4 linked regions of the Arabidopsis thaliana genome follow. The protein of the gene in region 2 interacts with the protein of the main gene of each other region in a pairwise test. Each region holds a gene or a part of one and is shown on either strand. Other genes may lie near its edges.

The links.
Region 1: the proteins of HBI1 (region 2) and AT4G30180 interact in a two-hybrid assay, tested with the Arabidopsis thaliana proteins (one large-scale study listed by BioGRID).
Region 3: the proteins of HBI1 (region 2) and AT1G09250 interact in a two-hybrid assay, tested with the Arabidopsis thaliana proteins (one large-scale study listed by BioGRID).
Region 4: the proteins of HBI1 (region 2) and AT2G28710 interact in a two-hybrid assay, tested with the Arabidopsis thaliana proteins (one large-scale study listed by BioGRID).

The regions. Positions count from the first base shown.
Region 1 is NC_003075.7:14,766,679-14,770,271, forward strand, and holds AT4G30180 (uncharacterized protein), read left to right. Parts: upstream 1-2,105; 5' UTR 2,106-2,349; coding exon 2,350-2,826; 3' UTR 2,827-3,093; downstream 3,094-3,593.
Region 2 is NC_003071.7:7,951,685-7,956,648, reverse strand, and holds HBI1 (basic helix-loop-helix (bHLH) DNA-binding superfamily protein), read left to right. Parts: upstream 1-1,909; 5' UTR 1,910-2,202; coding exon 2,203-2,586; intron 2,587-2,664; coding exon 2,665-2,883; intron 2,884-2,961; coding exon 2,962-3,096; intron 3,097-3,185; coding exon 3,186-3,257; intron 3,258-3,332; coding exon 3,333-3,467; intron 3,468-3,558; coding exon 3,559-3,613; coding exon of another isoform or gene 3,614-3,627; exon of another isoform or gene 3,628-4,008; coding exon 4,009-4,103; 3' UTR 4,104-4,245; downstream 4,246-4,964. Other genes in the region: AT2G18320 (F-box associated ubiquitination effector family protein), read right to left, coding at 1-21, 340-429. UniProt on the Arabidopsis thaliana protein: Atypical bHLH transcription factor that acts as a positive regulator of cell elongation downstream of multiple external and endogenous signals by direct binding to the promoters and activation of the two expansin genes EXPA1 and EXPA8, encoding cell wall loosening enzymes.
Region 3 is NC_003070.9:2,987,260-2,990,989, forward strand, and holds AT1G09250 (basic helix-loop-helix (bHLH) DNA-binding superfamily protein), read left to right. Parts: upstream 1-1,881; 5' UTR 1,882-2,249; coding exon 2,250-2,873; 3' UTR 2,874-3,168; downstream 3,169-3,730. Other genes in the region: AT1G09245 (Plant self-incompatibility protein S1 family), read right to left, coding at 1-108. UniProt on the Arabidopsis thaliana protein: Atypical bHLH transcription factor probably unable to bind DNA. Negatively regulates brassinosteroid signaling.
Region 4 is NC_003071.7:12,320,462-12,324,210, reverse strand, and holds AT2G28710 (C2H2-type zinc finger family protein), read right to left. Parts: upstream 1,826-3,749; 5' UTR 1,786-1,825; intron 1,264-1,785; 5' UTR 1,238-1,263; coding exon 767-1,237; 3' UTR 627-766; downstream 1-626.

The sequences.
Region 1 (3,593 bases), on a different chromosome or scaffold from region 2:
GCTTACACCTTTTTAATTCAGTTTAACTATTTCTTTTTAAAAAACTTATATAAAGAAGAGAAAACAAAATTTAAGAACAGCACAAACAAGTCATAACATGCCATCTACAATATTCGATAGAAATCTCCACAGACCTTGTACAATTCATTCTGACAGTTTTGTACGATTTCTTTGTGGTTCATACTGCAGACAAAATAGTTCTATACTATTTTAATATTATTGGCATTAGTTGGTTGTATTCATTATTGTTCCTTTATATATCTTTTTACGTAAAGATACTGTTGAATAATTACGAATCTGGTTTTACCTAGCTTGATTGTGTGATTGGAAAGAGTTACATTTAATTCGGTCATTTTTTCAACGTGGATTGTCAAAGGTGGAAAACCATTAAGCAAAATTCCAAGAAACTTTTATGATTATATGCATTATTGTTCAATGTCTACTATAGGTGTGAATGTCTAGTATCTATTTTGGTATCCACATCTATTAGTTTGCATCTCAATTTCTTTCTCCTCTTAGATTATATATATATATATATATATATCCAATATATATATATATATTATTTCGTTTGTTTTTAACTAGAAAATTCCTCTACCTTTATGTACTTTTATCTACTTGTATTTAGTAAAGTTTATAGATTAATTAATTTCATCTAGATGGGTTACCATTAACACATGTTTTCCACATTCAATCAAAGGTTATGGGATTGCATTAAAATATAATACGAGAAAACATCACATTCTAACAAAAAAAAAGATTATTTACAAAAGAGAAATAAAATTTCCTTGCTGCATTGATTGATAATCTACTAACCCTTGACTTTTTTTGTGTGGTAGGATAAAGAACACAACAAAACCAATAAGAGATCATTCAGTTTTGGCTATTAACAACAAAAGCTAGTAACGTGTATATTGCATGTATCAAACACTATAAGATTAAGAGACAACTTGTAATGTCTCAACCGCCCATGTTTAGTAGTTATAGATATTGTTTGGACATTTTATTGTTATTATTATTATTATTATTATTATATATATATATATATATATATATCTAAATGATTCGGTATATATTTTAAAAAATAAAAATAAAATAACAAATGAGTAACACCCAGACTTTCATATCATATCAAAGGTGACCTTTTGTGTCAACATAAACTATATTTATCTATTTACAAATCCTATAGGAAAAATTAAAGTCATCTTTAAACCTGGAATGCAATGATGCTTAGAATCAAAAAATCACGACTAAAAGTCCTTGACAAATAAAACGTATTAATAACCCAATTACTGACCACATGCATCTTAACTTTATGTTAATATGCGTAGTAAAGAAACTTGTATCTACGTCATATTAGTTACAGTGGCAGTAAAATTCAGTTTCAAAGATGTTTGTCTTGATATGTTGTACAGATCACCAATTGAACTACCACTAATAATAACTAAATTTCTGTTTAGCAAGTTACCATCTGTATCCAAATATCGCAAAAGTAGTGGGTAGTGAAACCCAAATTCATCACACATGCAGCATAAAAAAAAAGAAGGTCAAATGGTATATATAATATGAGGGAGATCTATATTAAGATAATATGGGTAGAAATGACATAGATTGATCAAACTAATTAGGAGATTGGTCCAAGGACACATACACATGCATACATGTATTATGTATATACAAAGTGTGTGAGTGAGTGAGTGAGAGAGAGAGAGGTTAAGAGGAAGGAACATGTGAAAGCATTAAGAGAAGGTGGGGTTTTGTATTGATGTCTTGTTCTTGGAATGGAGCCACATGGTAAAAGGGTCTCTCAAAGCACCTCTTTAGGGGTAGTTGTGATGCAGCCAAATTAGAGCTCTTGCATGTGACTCCATGTGTTTTTTCTTCCCTCACCCATTATTATTCCCAAATTCTTCTTTTCTTATTTTTCTCTCTTTATTTATGTATATATATATATATATATATATATATACACACTCTCTTTTTGTTTTCGTGTATTTTCTAAAAATAAATGTATTATACAAAAAAACATATATTAGTTGATGATATTCAAATTCCGTTGTTTTTAAAATATTTGTCTAAAAAAGAAAACTACTAACTACGACTTTCAAATAGTCTTGTGTTTTGTACGTGAACGAAAAATAATAACACTCCCAAACATATTACCTCATATATGTATACAAAGAAAATTAAGTTCTACAACTTTACTTTATACATCATCAACGCTTGTTATATACAAACAAACGTAGGACACCGCTCTTCTCTTTCTTTGTCTCTCTCATATTCTAAGTTTGCTATATATGTAACTTTCTCCCTTGTAGACTTTCATTTGCAGCAAAAATAGTTTCTCATATGGAGAGGCAAATCATAAACAGGAAGAAACGAGTGTTTTCTCTTGAACCAAACAAGAACCCTAGTGCAGTTTTCACGAGAAAATACACAAGCCACTTGGTTCCTGCACTCAAGAAGCTCAACATGAACAAGAACTCTTCAAAACAAACCGTGAAGCATGAAGTAGATATGGCTTTGGCTTTGTCTGCTCAAGAATTTGCATGGAGCCGTTTCTTGCTGCAGAAGCTATCGTCCTCATCGAATCCAACCACTACCACTAGTTCTTCTTCCGATGGAATTCGGATTCTTGAAAGACCCGATAAAGAAGGCGGAAACGAAGAAGGAGGGATAGAGGAGAGACTGAGGGAATTGAAGAAGCTTTTGCCAGGTGGGGAAGAGATGAATGTGGAAGAAATGTTGAGTGAGATTGGTAACTACATTAAATGTCTTGAGTTGCAGACGATTGCTCTCAAGTCCATTGTTCAAGATAGTACTTGACTTTTAGTTTAAGTGTATAATTTATAGTTTGTTTCATGTTTTTTTTGTTGTCTTTAAACGAAAATCATCTGTGTTTTTTTTTTTCTCTTGATTTCTTTAAGAACAAGAGCATGTATTATAGTGTTTTTCTTTTTTCCTTTTCTTAATTAATCATGGTTACCGAAATACCTAAAGTACCACACATGGCCGTTTATACGTACATCTTATAAAATTCGATCAAAATCTGATTGAAATTTAAATTATTGGTTGTAATGCCAAATAGACGATGTGCTGCCTAAAATAAAACTCTTATGTTGTCTTTTTTTCCTGAATTTATTATTTTAATGTTATGAGCAAATCTCCAAACTTTAATATTCTAATCATTTTAACCTGACAAACTTTGTGTTTGTGTATATATTTATATTCCTGCAAGTTTTTTTTCTCCTTTAGCGAAAACATATGAACTTTCGACTACAAAAAATCAGATGTAACAAATCTTCAATTAAATAAAAGCTACACATTAGTAGAGATCACCAATATGTTCCAGCTGCAGTAACTACAGGTGCACCATTAAAATGTAAACAAAAATTAGGACTACTGGACTAGAATTACTTTCCAAAAAATTCGATGAATATGAAAAACAAAACGCCGAAATTGTAAATATCTAAAAAGGAGGAAAGTTGGATGACATATGTGTAAACTATGAAAGTCATAACATTGATTTGAAGTCATCATCCATATCTTTGCACGTGTCTCACAGTCACTCGCACGCATCCAAATCTCTCTAT
Region 2 (4,964 bases):
TAATGACTTTGTGCTATATTGCTACATGTATAATATTAACATAACTAGCTAACTTTTTCACAATGGAAAACTTATAAGAACTTAAATCCAAAAAAAAAAAAAAATCGCTCGTTTTGCAGTTCTTATGAATGTGATTGAAATTTGGAAGTGGGTAAACTTATAACTTTAATAGTATTACAACAGTGAATGGAGAAGGACACTATTAGGGACAATGTTCCACATCGGAAGTTAAGTAGGATCTTAAGTGGTATATATAAGATAGCGGCCTCTCCACCTATTGCCAATTGGTTTTAGGTTGGAAGCCCACACTCTAATATGGTATCAGAGCCCGATCCGCACATACTCAACCCGATCCACATCGGTCCGGCCCAATACTTGGCCCGCCGATCCATGCCCAAACATATCGAGATCAATGGCTAGAAGAGCCATCATCTCGAGGGGGCGTATTAGGGACAATGTCCCACATCGGAAGTTAAGTAGGATCTTAAGTGGTATATATAAGATATGGGTCTCTCCACCTATTGCCAATTGGTTTTAGGTTGGAAGCCCACACTCTAGTAGACAGAAGAATATGATCAAACACTCTGATCAAAAGCAATGGTCTCCTACCTTCCAATCACTTATCTTCAAACCCATTGTTTTCTTTATATATTTTAAATATATTTTGATGTCGCTTTTAATTATTAACATGTCATGTTATAGATTAATTTCTAAAATATTCAATGGTTGGTGGTATACTGTTCTTTGTTGTCTTGCTGTATTATCTATCTACTCATGGATTTTCGTTTGATTCTTTTATGGAAAACCCAAGATGACAAGATCTTTTGCATGATCTTGTCTTGTGTCTTTATTTCAAACTAACTGAATATAGTTAGTTATATATTATTGTTATCAATAAGCTGGAGTAGCTCAGTTGGTTAGAGCGTGTGGCTGTTAACCACAAGGTCAGAGGTTCGACCCCTCTCTCTAGCGATGTTTTCTTCTTTTCAGTTTTTTTTTTTTTTGTACTGATACAATTACAATTTACAACACAAAATACAAACTATTAGACTACATGTCAATAATGTCATGATGCAAATTTTGCGGTCAAACTTTTTTTAATATAAGTTTTGTTACATGGATTCAATGTAGTTTGTTTGGGTTTTACTTTGTAAGTAAGTTTTATAGAAACAATCAATTTTCTGAATTTTAGTTTGGATTGAATTCAATTAATTTGACTATTCCAAATGTCAATATATGTTAAGGTCTCACTCATTGTTTATTTTTTCCTTGTAAAGCTCCTCTCATAAACTTGAAAGGGCAAAAAAGAAGAAGAAAAAAAAGAAAACATAACACACACAAAGAAGGGATAAAGAACCTCTAAATTTAGTGTTCATAAGGACATGCCCACATGGTGTGGGTTATGTCACTTAGACCCTACACCTTCTCCTCTCACCTTCTTTGCTCCCAACCTTTTCTTTTATCAATTTATGTCCCTCTCTCTCTTAGATACCGAATCTTTACTACTATTTTCCGCAATTTGTTCTTGAGCCTCTTTTTTCTCCTAGTCATAGTCAAGTGTCTCTAAACGATGGACCCGATTTATCCACCAACGCTAACGTTTAATCTATCTCACTGTCATTTGTGACTATCACATAGCTACAGTACGACCATTTTCGTAAACTTATCATAAAAGATCGGTCTCAAATCCGATACAAATGTTATGTTGAACATCTACGTAAAATAGAAAACTATTGTTATTGCTATATATTTTTTAAGGGATACGTATAAAAAAGTTGTGGCGTATAAAAAACGTGTGGTACCATTTTGAATTGGTAAGAGAGTATTTATTTCTAGAGAGGTAAGAGATAACAAATAAGTAAATGAAATTTCTACATTTATAAAGGAAAATAAAATAAAAACATAAGAAGTAGGGGACCTTATGTGTGTGGGTCAATGTTGTTTTCTATTTAAAGCTAAGAAGAATGATTTCAATGGATTAGTTTCTCCCAACTCTTTCATCTTTTTTAAGCAACCACCCAAAAACAATATTACATAACCTAAATCTCTACTTCTTCATACATTTATAGCAAATCCTCTTTTGCTTTAAACCCACCAAATAACTCAGAGCTTTTTTGCATTTTTTCCCATTCTCTATTTTGTTTTGTACTTTTGGTCTCACTTTAAAAGATCATAAGTTGAAAGATTTCTGCAGAGAACAATATGTTGGAAGGTCTTGTCTCTCAAGAAAGCTTGTCCTTAAACTCTATGGACATGTCTGTACTTGAAAGGCTTAAATGGGTACAACAGCAACAACAGCAACTGCAACAAGTTGTGTCCCATAGCAGTAATAATTCACCTGAACTTCTTCAGATACTTCAGTTCCATGGAAGCAACAATGATGAGTTGTTGGAGAGTAGTTTCAGCCAATTTCAAATGCTTGGATCTGGTTTTGGACCAAACTATAACATGGGTTTTGGTCCTCCACATGAATCCATTTCAAGAACAAGTAGCTGCCATATGGAACCTGTGGATACAATGGAGGTTTTGTTGAAGACCGGTGAAGAAACCAGAGCCGTTGCCTTGAAGAACAAGAGAAAACCAGAGGTTTGTAAGATCAAAATTTTGGATAAAAACTTTGTTTTGAGACATGGTTTTTGATATTTTTTATTAATAATGTCTTAGGTTAAGACAAGGGAAGAGCAAAAGACAGAGAAGAAGATCAAAGTAGAGGCTGAGACAGAGTCAAGCATGAAAGGAAAATCAAACATGGGAAACACTGAAGCATCTTCAGACACTTCAAAGGAGACATCGAAAGGAGCTTCAGAGAATCAGAAATTAGATTATATCCACGTGAGAGCTCGTCGAGGCCAAGCCACTGACAGACACAGCTTAGCAGAAAGGGTAATAAAAATAAATAAGTTTCTTGTGATACAAGAATCATGATATATCTAGGGTTTCTGAATGGATTTGGATTTGCAGGCGAGAAGAGAAAAGATCAGCAAGAAAATGAAATATCTGCAAGATATTGTGCCTGGATGCAATAAGGTCACAGGAAAAGCTGGTATGCTTGATGAGATCATCAATTATGTTCAATGTCTCCAAAGACAAGTCGAGGTAAGCAATGAAACCATGATTCTCTGTAACTTAACTTCACTATTAACCAAAGAGAATAAGTCTAATTCTTAAAGAGCCATACTTTGCAGTTCCTGTCGATGAAACTTGCTGTCTTGAACCCGGAACTAGAGCTTGCCGTGGAAGATGTATCCGTAAAACAGGTGAAAACACATTGTCTAGACCCTCAAAGTCATATTGATATTGCTCAACAAACTTAAGGGTTATGAAATTTTCAGTTTCAGGCTTACTTTACAAATGTAGTTGCTTCAAAGCAATCAATAATGGTTGATGTGCCATTGTTTCCGTTAGACCAGCAAGGATCTCTAGATTTGTCTGCGATAAACCCGAACCAAACGACATCTATCGAAGCTGTAAGTACAGCTTTATATGAAACTGAAAAACTTGTCAGAGTTTTTGTTCCTTGTCAGTGAAGTAACCTGTCTCTGTATCTCTCTATTTCAGCCATCTGGAAGCTGGGAAACTCAATCACAGAGTCTCTACAACACATCTAGCCTCGGTTTTCATTACTAAGCAAGATTCATTGAAACAACATGGTTGACATCAATCAATCATCAAAATCAGAAGCAAATTCTATTACATTTGCTCATCAAAGTAGTAATTTCGAAATTTGGTTAATGCATTATCCTTTGATCCTTGTTTTCTGATATTTAAACCAGAAGAACTGGAGATAGCAATCCAATGATCTTGTCACCATCAATCTTTGTGTATAGATTATATAGAGAGATAGATAAATATGTTTTAGAGGAGTTATAGATATATATCATATTTGTAGAAGAAAGAGAGAAAACTCTTGTGGTAATTACAATTCTTGTTTGTTTTTTTGGATATATAAATATCTAAGAAAATTATAAATCGTTTTCCTGTTTTTTTTTTCTGCAACGAATATCTAAGAAAACTCTTGTGGTAATTACAATAAAATATCTAAGATTCTATTGTCAACGAAATGTACCCATCAATATGTTCCCATTCGAAGGGTATGGGTATAGAGTTATTAGGTCGCCATGATTTTTTATAAATCGGTGGAAGAATACTTTTGATGATCAAAGTAAACGGTATCTAGGCAGCCAATTAATCAATGTCGATTTTATCTTCACATAAAATTTTATTCATTGAATACAAATTATTTTCTAGCTATTTAATTTATGTAAAATTAAATCGATCATAAGAAAAAAAACTAATAGCTTAAACAGATGTTGTCTTTAGTTATTTTGATACAAGATTGCATTGTATTCTTTAAAAATTCATAACCAACATCATGGCGTTGAATTTGGATGTTGAATCCGAATGATGACTCTCAATGCACATTTAGATGAAAAGAAAAGAAAAAAATTTCGTTTGGAAACAGCTCATCGACTATTCACAGATTCGGGAGAGGTTATTCATTTATTCTTCTATTTTCTTGCTAAAGATTAACCATATATTCGAGTAGGATTCTTGTAAAAAGCAAACATCATCAAATGTGAAGTATGTGTCAAATAAAATTTTGTCAAATAAAACATCATCGAGTAGGATTCTTCTATTTCTATTTTTTTTTTGGATATTAGTTAGTGTCAAATAAATTTTTGTTAATTTAAAAACTACACTAGTAAACATTTTTATAACAAATAAGAAAATTGGATTCTCGAGTGATGGCAAATTCATGAATTCTTTATGAAATTGGTGAACATATATAAAATCGGACGTTGTTTTAAATTTGTTTCATTTTTAATTCAAAGAATGATATTTTAGACGTTTGATCATTGTTGTCTTGTTGATGCTACGATTGCATTCAAACTCTAGTTTTCATTACATTCAAAATATATCTAATTTTGCATTCGGATGCACCTACATATATAATTTTACAAAGC
Region 3 (3,730 bases), on a different chromosome or scaffold from region 2:
CTCGTTTCTAATTAGAACTTTATTTTTTGGACATGGGAACATGTCAAATGCTACATTCAATCCAAAATATGTTACAACAACAAACATAAAAATTATAAAACGATTCATTTAAGAGTAATTTGAGACTCCAGTTTGAATTTGATGACATCAATAATGCATTATATATAGTTATTAGTGTGTTAGTATTTTCTTATGGCCTTAACTAAAATTAGTTAAATTGAAACACAAACATGAATTATTAATATATAGGTATTGCCGAAAAAAGTATGGTTGACCAATCCCAATGGATTCAACCTTACAAATCATAGGTGATCCACAAACATCTAACTAAAACCAAAATATTTAAGATATAACAAAAAAATCTTGCAAGTGTACTATTTTAACAGGACAAGTGTATCTTGTAATACGGAAGATTTCGAAAATTTGAACTCCCGATTTCAACATAACAAAATAACATCTGTCCTCGGGCCTATACAGGCCCAGTAAGTCTAACGATAAATGAGCCTTAATGGACTAGATTTAAAACTTTATAAAGGGGCCAAGGCGTTCACAAACCCAACAGTAGGTACAGAAGGCTCCTGGTAATAACTGAAAAGCAACGCAACCACATAGCAAAGACAAGTTACTTGATCCAAGAGAGCTGTTTCCTTTGTGTGATGTTGTTCGATTTTGACCTCAGTGTTTATGAATTCCTGAGTAAGATCTAGTCTTTAACTTCCCCACCTTGGATACTGTATTCACGAATGAGCATGTTTTTGTTCCTTGGGAGATTCCATAATTGGTCTGATGCATATAGACATGTGTTTTTTTTTTTTGGTGTCATATGTGCGCTGTGAATCTTGTGATATTTTAGAATCTAAAAAATATACACGCACAAGAAAAGCTTACGACCACATATATCAATGGGTTCCAGTTTAAAAATTTGGTGAGTATTATTAAGAGAGTCGGAGAAGAAATATTTGAGCGTGGTTAAAATATTAAGAAAAGGAAGAGACATGGAGACGATGTCTCAATTAAGGGGGCAAGCCTCTCTGGCCAATTACAGAGAAAAGGGCCCTTTTAGATTCTCTTCAAGATCTTCTTTTTTTTTTTCTTGTTTTTTTTGGTATAAATCACACATTTACTACAAAAATGCACTTATAATATTTAGTGTCAACTCATAATTGCTAAAACATTTCTCTCGTGTTTTCCATAGCAAGGTGCCAAAAACGAATTGATCAAGAAAAGTAAATGTTTTACATTAGTTACTATAGAATTTAGATCATGGTTTGTTTAAGATTTAGAACTTGGTGTAGGAACTAATAATTCCCTCGTGATATATGACAAATTGACAATGACATTCACCGTTACGAAGGATCGAATTTTGTCAAGAAAAAATATTTTCTAAACTATGGTATGAAGACAATATACATATACTACTCATTACTCTTGAATTTTATTTTTGTTTTTCCTTTGTAGACTACTCATTACTCTTTAGATTGAGATATCAATTAGAAACATACAAATCACACACAAAATAGTGGGAAACGGCAAAGGAGAGAATTTGTTGGCGGAAAATTGTCCACAACATTACAAATGAGTAAAGGTCACACAAAAGAGATCCTTTTTTCTCATATGGCAGCGCCATGAAAATGGTCACATGGAATGCTTTTTTGGTAAATTTTCTTTTCTCTTTTGCTTATTTCACTCTCTGAGTGCTTTTTTCCCTTTCTCTGCTTACCTTTAAAATAAAATAAAACCACATGAATTCTACCGCAACCACTTGAAACAAAAGATTCAACATCACCCTTTATTTCTCAACTTATCAAAAATATATATATCAATCGTCTATATTCTTTGACCTTTGGAGTTACAATGTATAAACATAGAAAATATATTTGCATCGCTCAGCATTTTGACTATTAAAGGGCATAATTTTGGAGCTTCATGCCAAGGCAAAAAGATAAAGAACAATCACATGAATGACAAAAGATTAAAAACAAAAGATTTTTAACTAATGAAAAAAAACACAAAAAACAAATACCGGTAAATAAGGGCAAAAGTGGAATTAAGTGTTATAGCTCCGCTGGCGATTGGCAGAGATATAAAAACTGATCTCTCTCCATTCATCTTCTCTTGTTTCTAACTAGTCACATTGAGAGAGAGAGAGAGAGAAAGAGAGACTCTCAGAATCTGAAGAAGAAGAAGAGATTGTTGTTTTTGCCTTTTATCATCGGTTTCTTTGAATCTCTGGTTTTAAATCGGATTTAATGGTGGAGTCTCTGTTCCCGAGCATCGAAAACACAGGTGAATCGTCTCGAAGAAAGAAGCCGAGGATATCAGAGACGGCGGAGGCGGAGATAGAGGCACGACGTGTCAACGAAGAAAGCTTGAAGAGATGGAAAACGAATCGTGTGCAACAGATCTACGCTTGTAAGCTCGTCGAAGCTTTACGCCGAGTTCGTCAGAGATCTTCCACCACCAGCAACAACGAGACCGATAAACTCGTCTCCGGCGCGGCGAGGGAGATACGTGATACGGCGGATCGAGTTCTAGCTGCGTCCGCTCGTGGTACGACTCGGTGGAGCAGAGCGATTTTAGCGAGTCGCGTCCGAGCGAAGCTGAAGAAACATAGAAAGGCGAAAAAGTCAACGGGAAATTGTAAATCGAGAAAAGGTCTCACGGAGACGAATCGGATTAAGTTACCGGCGGTTGAGAGAAAACTGAAGATTCTTGGCCGTTTGGTTCCTGGTTGCCGGAAAGTCTCTGTACCGAATCTTTTAGATGAAGCGACCGATTACATCGCAGCGTTAGAGATGCAGGTTCGAGCCATGGAGGCTCTCGCCGAACTTTTAACCGCAGCCGCACCACGGACGACGTTGACCGGAACTTAACGGCGGCAGTTAGTTTGTCAGTTGTTAATTAGCTTTTCTTTTACCTTTTTACCCCTTTATTTTGGCTTCAAGTGTTTTTTTTTTCTCGTCGACGCGATTTTAATTTATTAAATTCATGTATTTTATTTGTATACATCATCACTTCTTTTTTTTTGTATCCATTTTGATCTTTCTTTGTTTTTTCGTTAGATAATCAAAGTTATCTAAACAATAACAACAACAAAATGCCAACTAATGTCGATTCCAAAAATTGTTTAACGCTTTAAAAAAAAATTAGACCTACAAATTAAAGAAACTAAAAAGTAAGGAGAAGAACAAATAATTTGCAAGTTGAAGCAATTCAAAAATGAGCATGTGCGTGTAACGTGTTGAGGACACCCACCTTAATTTTGGGGCCAATGGACTCCATGTGATTCTCAAAGACTTTTTCCGACGTTGAAGTTTATGTCGAAAAGTGTATTTTTTGCTCAAAATGCCCTCAAAATCTTTCAAACTGATTAGAAAAAAACATTTACTTGAATGTCAACATTAATTATGATAACAAGGAGTAGCATACGACTCTTCAAGAGAACTGACATTATGAAAAATTGATGATTATGGTATAAAATACAAGTTAGTAAAAGTTAGTTGTCAGAAGAAATCCACTAGGAATAACATTGAAAGAAGTGGTGAGCAAAAAGGACCACAAAAATGGAACCAAAAGAAGAGGAAACAATAAGATTGAGAAATGAGTCTCTTGGAACATCTTTTTTCCCTCTTTAAGACTCCCCACGTGTGCTCTTTCTTTTAACACCCAATATGTCTTTCAAAAGCATTCACACCTTTTTGTTGTATATCAAATTAAATGGCAACATGTT
Region 4 (3,749 bases), 4.4 Mb from region 2:
AAATGACTAGAACCATGACTATAATCTGTAATCTCTGGTCTAAAGATCCACATGATTAAAAAAAACTAAACTACCATTACTTGCTTATTCTTATCATGTCTTTCGTACACATAAATGTTTATCATCAACGACTCATTTCAACTGTTTTTTTTTTTGTGTGGAAATTTTGTTTCTTTCAATATAAATTTTGAATACTAATTAGTTTTTTTAACAAAACGTCTACAACGAAAAGAAATCTCGAAATTTCTAGTTAATGACTTTCTTCTTTTTTTCGTTACCAAAAGTTTTAGCAAGTTAATGACAAAAAACTAGATGTCTAATTATAGACAAATAGTAAAACGAAGAGGTCTTATACCCCTACTTATAGACAAAGATGTCCGATTAGTTTATAGAACCAATAACTCTGGAACATGATTCTAATACAAAAAAACTGAAACTAAGAATCTGAACCTAACGTGTATGATTTGTTTGTGGTATCATCCAAGTTCAAAACTAATGTTTTCAGAATTCAAATTATATATGTCTACGTAATCAATGCGACGCTAAAAGAATTCAACAAAATGATTATTACTGAAACAGACTTTATATATATATATATACATAATAACTCGAACAATATAAGATGTATATATCTGTATCTATACATAACGGTATATACCGTAAAGTTGTTATACAAAAAATACTGAAAGTCTACAAAAATAGAAATTATCAGAAAAAATAAACTTACCCTACACAAGTATACCCTAAAAAGAAAAACGAACAAAAATCAGAAAATAAACCTCCCAAGCTCCAACTTCAAATCTTCGTTCTCTAAAGGCGTCAAGTTCAAGTCCAAACACAAAACTCTTTTTCCATTACCACCGCCTGATTTCTTCATCGTCACCGGCGCTGTAGCCGGCGCCAAACTCCGGCCACCTCCTCCTCCTGATCCACCTCTATGCTTCCTCATGTGACCACCTAAGGCCTGCCCTACCGCGAACTCAGCACCACATATGGGACACTCGTGTTTCACCGGTTTGACTCTCTTAGGAGAAGGAGGTGCGTGGCCTTCAAGCGCTGCGGATCGCCGGTGGCTGGCTCGGTGACCTCCCAAGGCTTGGAACGACGGGAACTCTTTGTTGCATGTCTTGCACGCGAAAACACGGCTTTTGGTGTCGTTTTGATGGGCCTTTGATAGAAGAATCAAGCAATTTGCCATGTTGTTTATCATCTCCATATCTGATCTTCCCCTTTCCATTTGACTGATGATTAAAAAAAAAATCACTCTTTTTTTTTTTGGTTGAGAAATGAAAAATGAAAAATGAAACGAAGACTTTGTTGAATAATGAGTTTTGATCGTGTTTATATAAGCGAAAACTTAGCTTAGCTTTTTTGCATTGACTTTAGTTGTGAGACGGAGAGCTGAAATTCTAGTTTTACCCTTTCCTCTTGCTGAATAAACACCTTTTCGTTGACCTTCCACGTTCAATAATAGTTTCGTGTTATTATATACAAAATAGCAAAAAATAAAACAAAAACTGACTATTCCTTTGATTGCTTATTAATCATCATGTTTAACCGATTAGAAACGAGACAGACATGTAAACAGAATCTATAAGGACATGAGTTAGTGCACTTAATTAAGATAAAACTTCTATAACCATACACTAGATGATGGATTTTTAATTAGTGTTTTGGCTAAATGAGTACAACATCAGCTCAACCGATAATGCAGGGAACAAACACATATTCGAATTCAATGTTTATCAACCATCCTAACTAATTAGTATAAAGAAGTTTTTTAACAACAAAAAAAAAAAAAAAAAAAGTTAACAACTGAAAAAGTAAGTTTTTATGAAATCTCCTAAATGAAAGTTAAAAGATATCTACAACAATATATGTAGGAGACATAAATTATTATATTTCGTTTATTATCAATTGGTTCTTTTTTTGTTGTTACAGTTATTATCAATTAGTTATGTATTTAAGTATTTTAAACTCATTAAACATAGCAAAACCCCAATTGATTGATTCAAAGGTTATTGCTAAATTTGTGATGCTGTTTTGGTACCAACCATTGTTATTGTCTTATTGGTAATACAACTGCGTTTGCCACAACACAAATATTGTTATCATCTAACTATCAACATAATTAATATAAAAAAATAAAAATTGTCAACAAGTAACTATGATTTAATATTTCAAAGTGGAGTTAATAAATATATGGTGGTAACTAAACTAAGAAATTAAAGAGATAACACATGGTGTTAGTAGTTGTACTAGTCGATCTTTCTTAGAGAAACAACGACCATGTCCCATCTTCGAGTTGTACCGGCAAAGAGGATTAACCTACTTGCTCAGAACCGTGGCTTAAAACAACTATGATTTTGATTCTTGGTCGATAAAAACTATGGACCGAAATTAAAGTCTAGAAATCTTTGGTAGTTTACAATTGTTTAAAGATAAGATTATATTAGGAAATGGGTATTTTAGTAATTGAAGAGGAAGTACGGCAAGACTTTTGGTACGGCAAGTTGCGATTGAGTCACACAAACGTCATCGCATACCAAACCAAACGACGAGCAGAAAAATAGTCGTGAGTCAGACGCTCTAGAGTGTTTTACTATTATCTAACCTTTCTCTTTATCCCCAGTTCCCCACTCGCACACTCTCACGCATGCATCTCAAACGCTATTTTTTCCAACTTTTCTTTTTGTGTTTCCTCGTGAAGATATAGATTATCTTCATTCAACATCACGCATGAAAATTACGTTACGTGTTATCTCGTATGTTTTAGGTGTTGATTTAATTCTTAGTGAATCGAAACGAATTTTCTGTGTTCATACTTTAATGGGTTTACATATCCAAATTTAGATATGTTCCATATTATAACTAATGCAAATTTTAATTAAATTTTCTCAAAATTAAGAAGTAAAATATTACATAAGCTCATTCTCATTGATTCAAAAAAAATAATACATGAAGATGGTTAAACCATGCCTAAAACCAAAGAGAAAATAATTAAAATACTGGTTTATATATACCATTCACAAATGTATGTAGACATAATGACAAACCATATGCATTAAATATTTTTTCTTTAGATCTCTCTATGTAAAGTTTTTATGGTCGGTCCCTACAATAAGGATGTCCTATAGTACCAACTACCAAAACTTTTCACTCTATGAAATAGAAATTGGACAAGCAAGTTTTATTTATTTTATCAACGGACATGGAAGTCATATACAATTTTATATAAGTGTAAGTGGCTCGACGCCTTGTTTTTTCAATATATATTAACCAACATGGTGGTCATGTGGCTGATTTTATTGATTTATTTTTGGTTTAAAGTCTTATGAATGTGCGGAACAATACTTTTAGTGATAATAAAACAAAATCTTCAATTATATCATTCAACAACCAGCTTGTTTAAATTATACTCCATCTAGTTCTTTTTTGTTTAATTGTTTAGAAAAAACACACATATTAAAAAAATATATTAAATGTTGATTATAAATGTATTATTTTTAGTGTTTTACAGTTTTCTATAACTCTAAACCAATAATAATTAACTATTTTTTTTGAAAATTACAATTCACTAATATTAACCAATAATATTACATGGAAAACTTAAAAAATCAATCTTTTAGAAACAAATTTTTTTTTCTAAACAATCAAACAAAAAGGAACAGAGGGAATATCTGTTTGACTTAGTGTTTAAAAGTTGCTAATTTAGAATATATATACACTATTTAAATCCAAACTGAGAA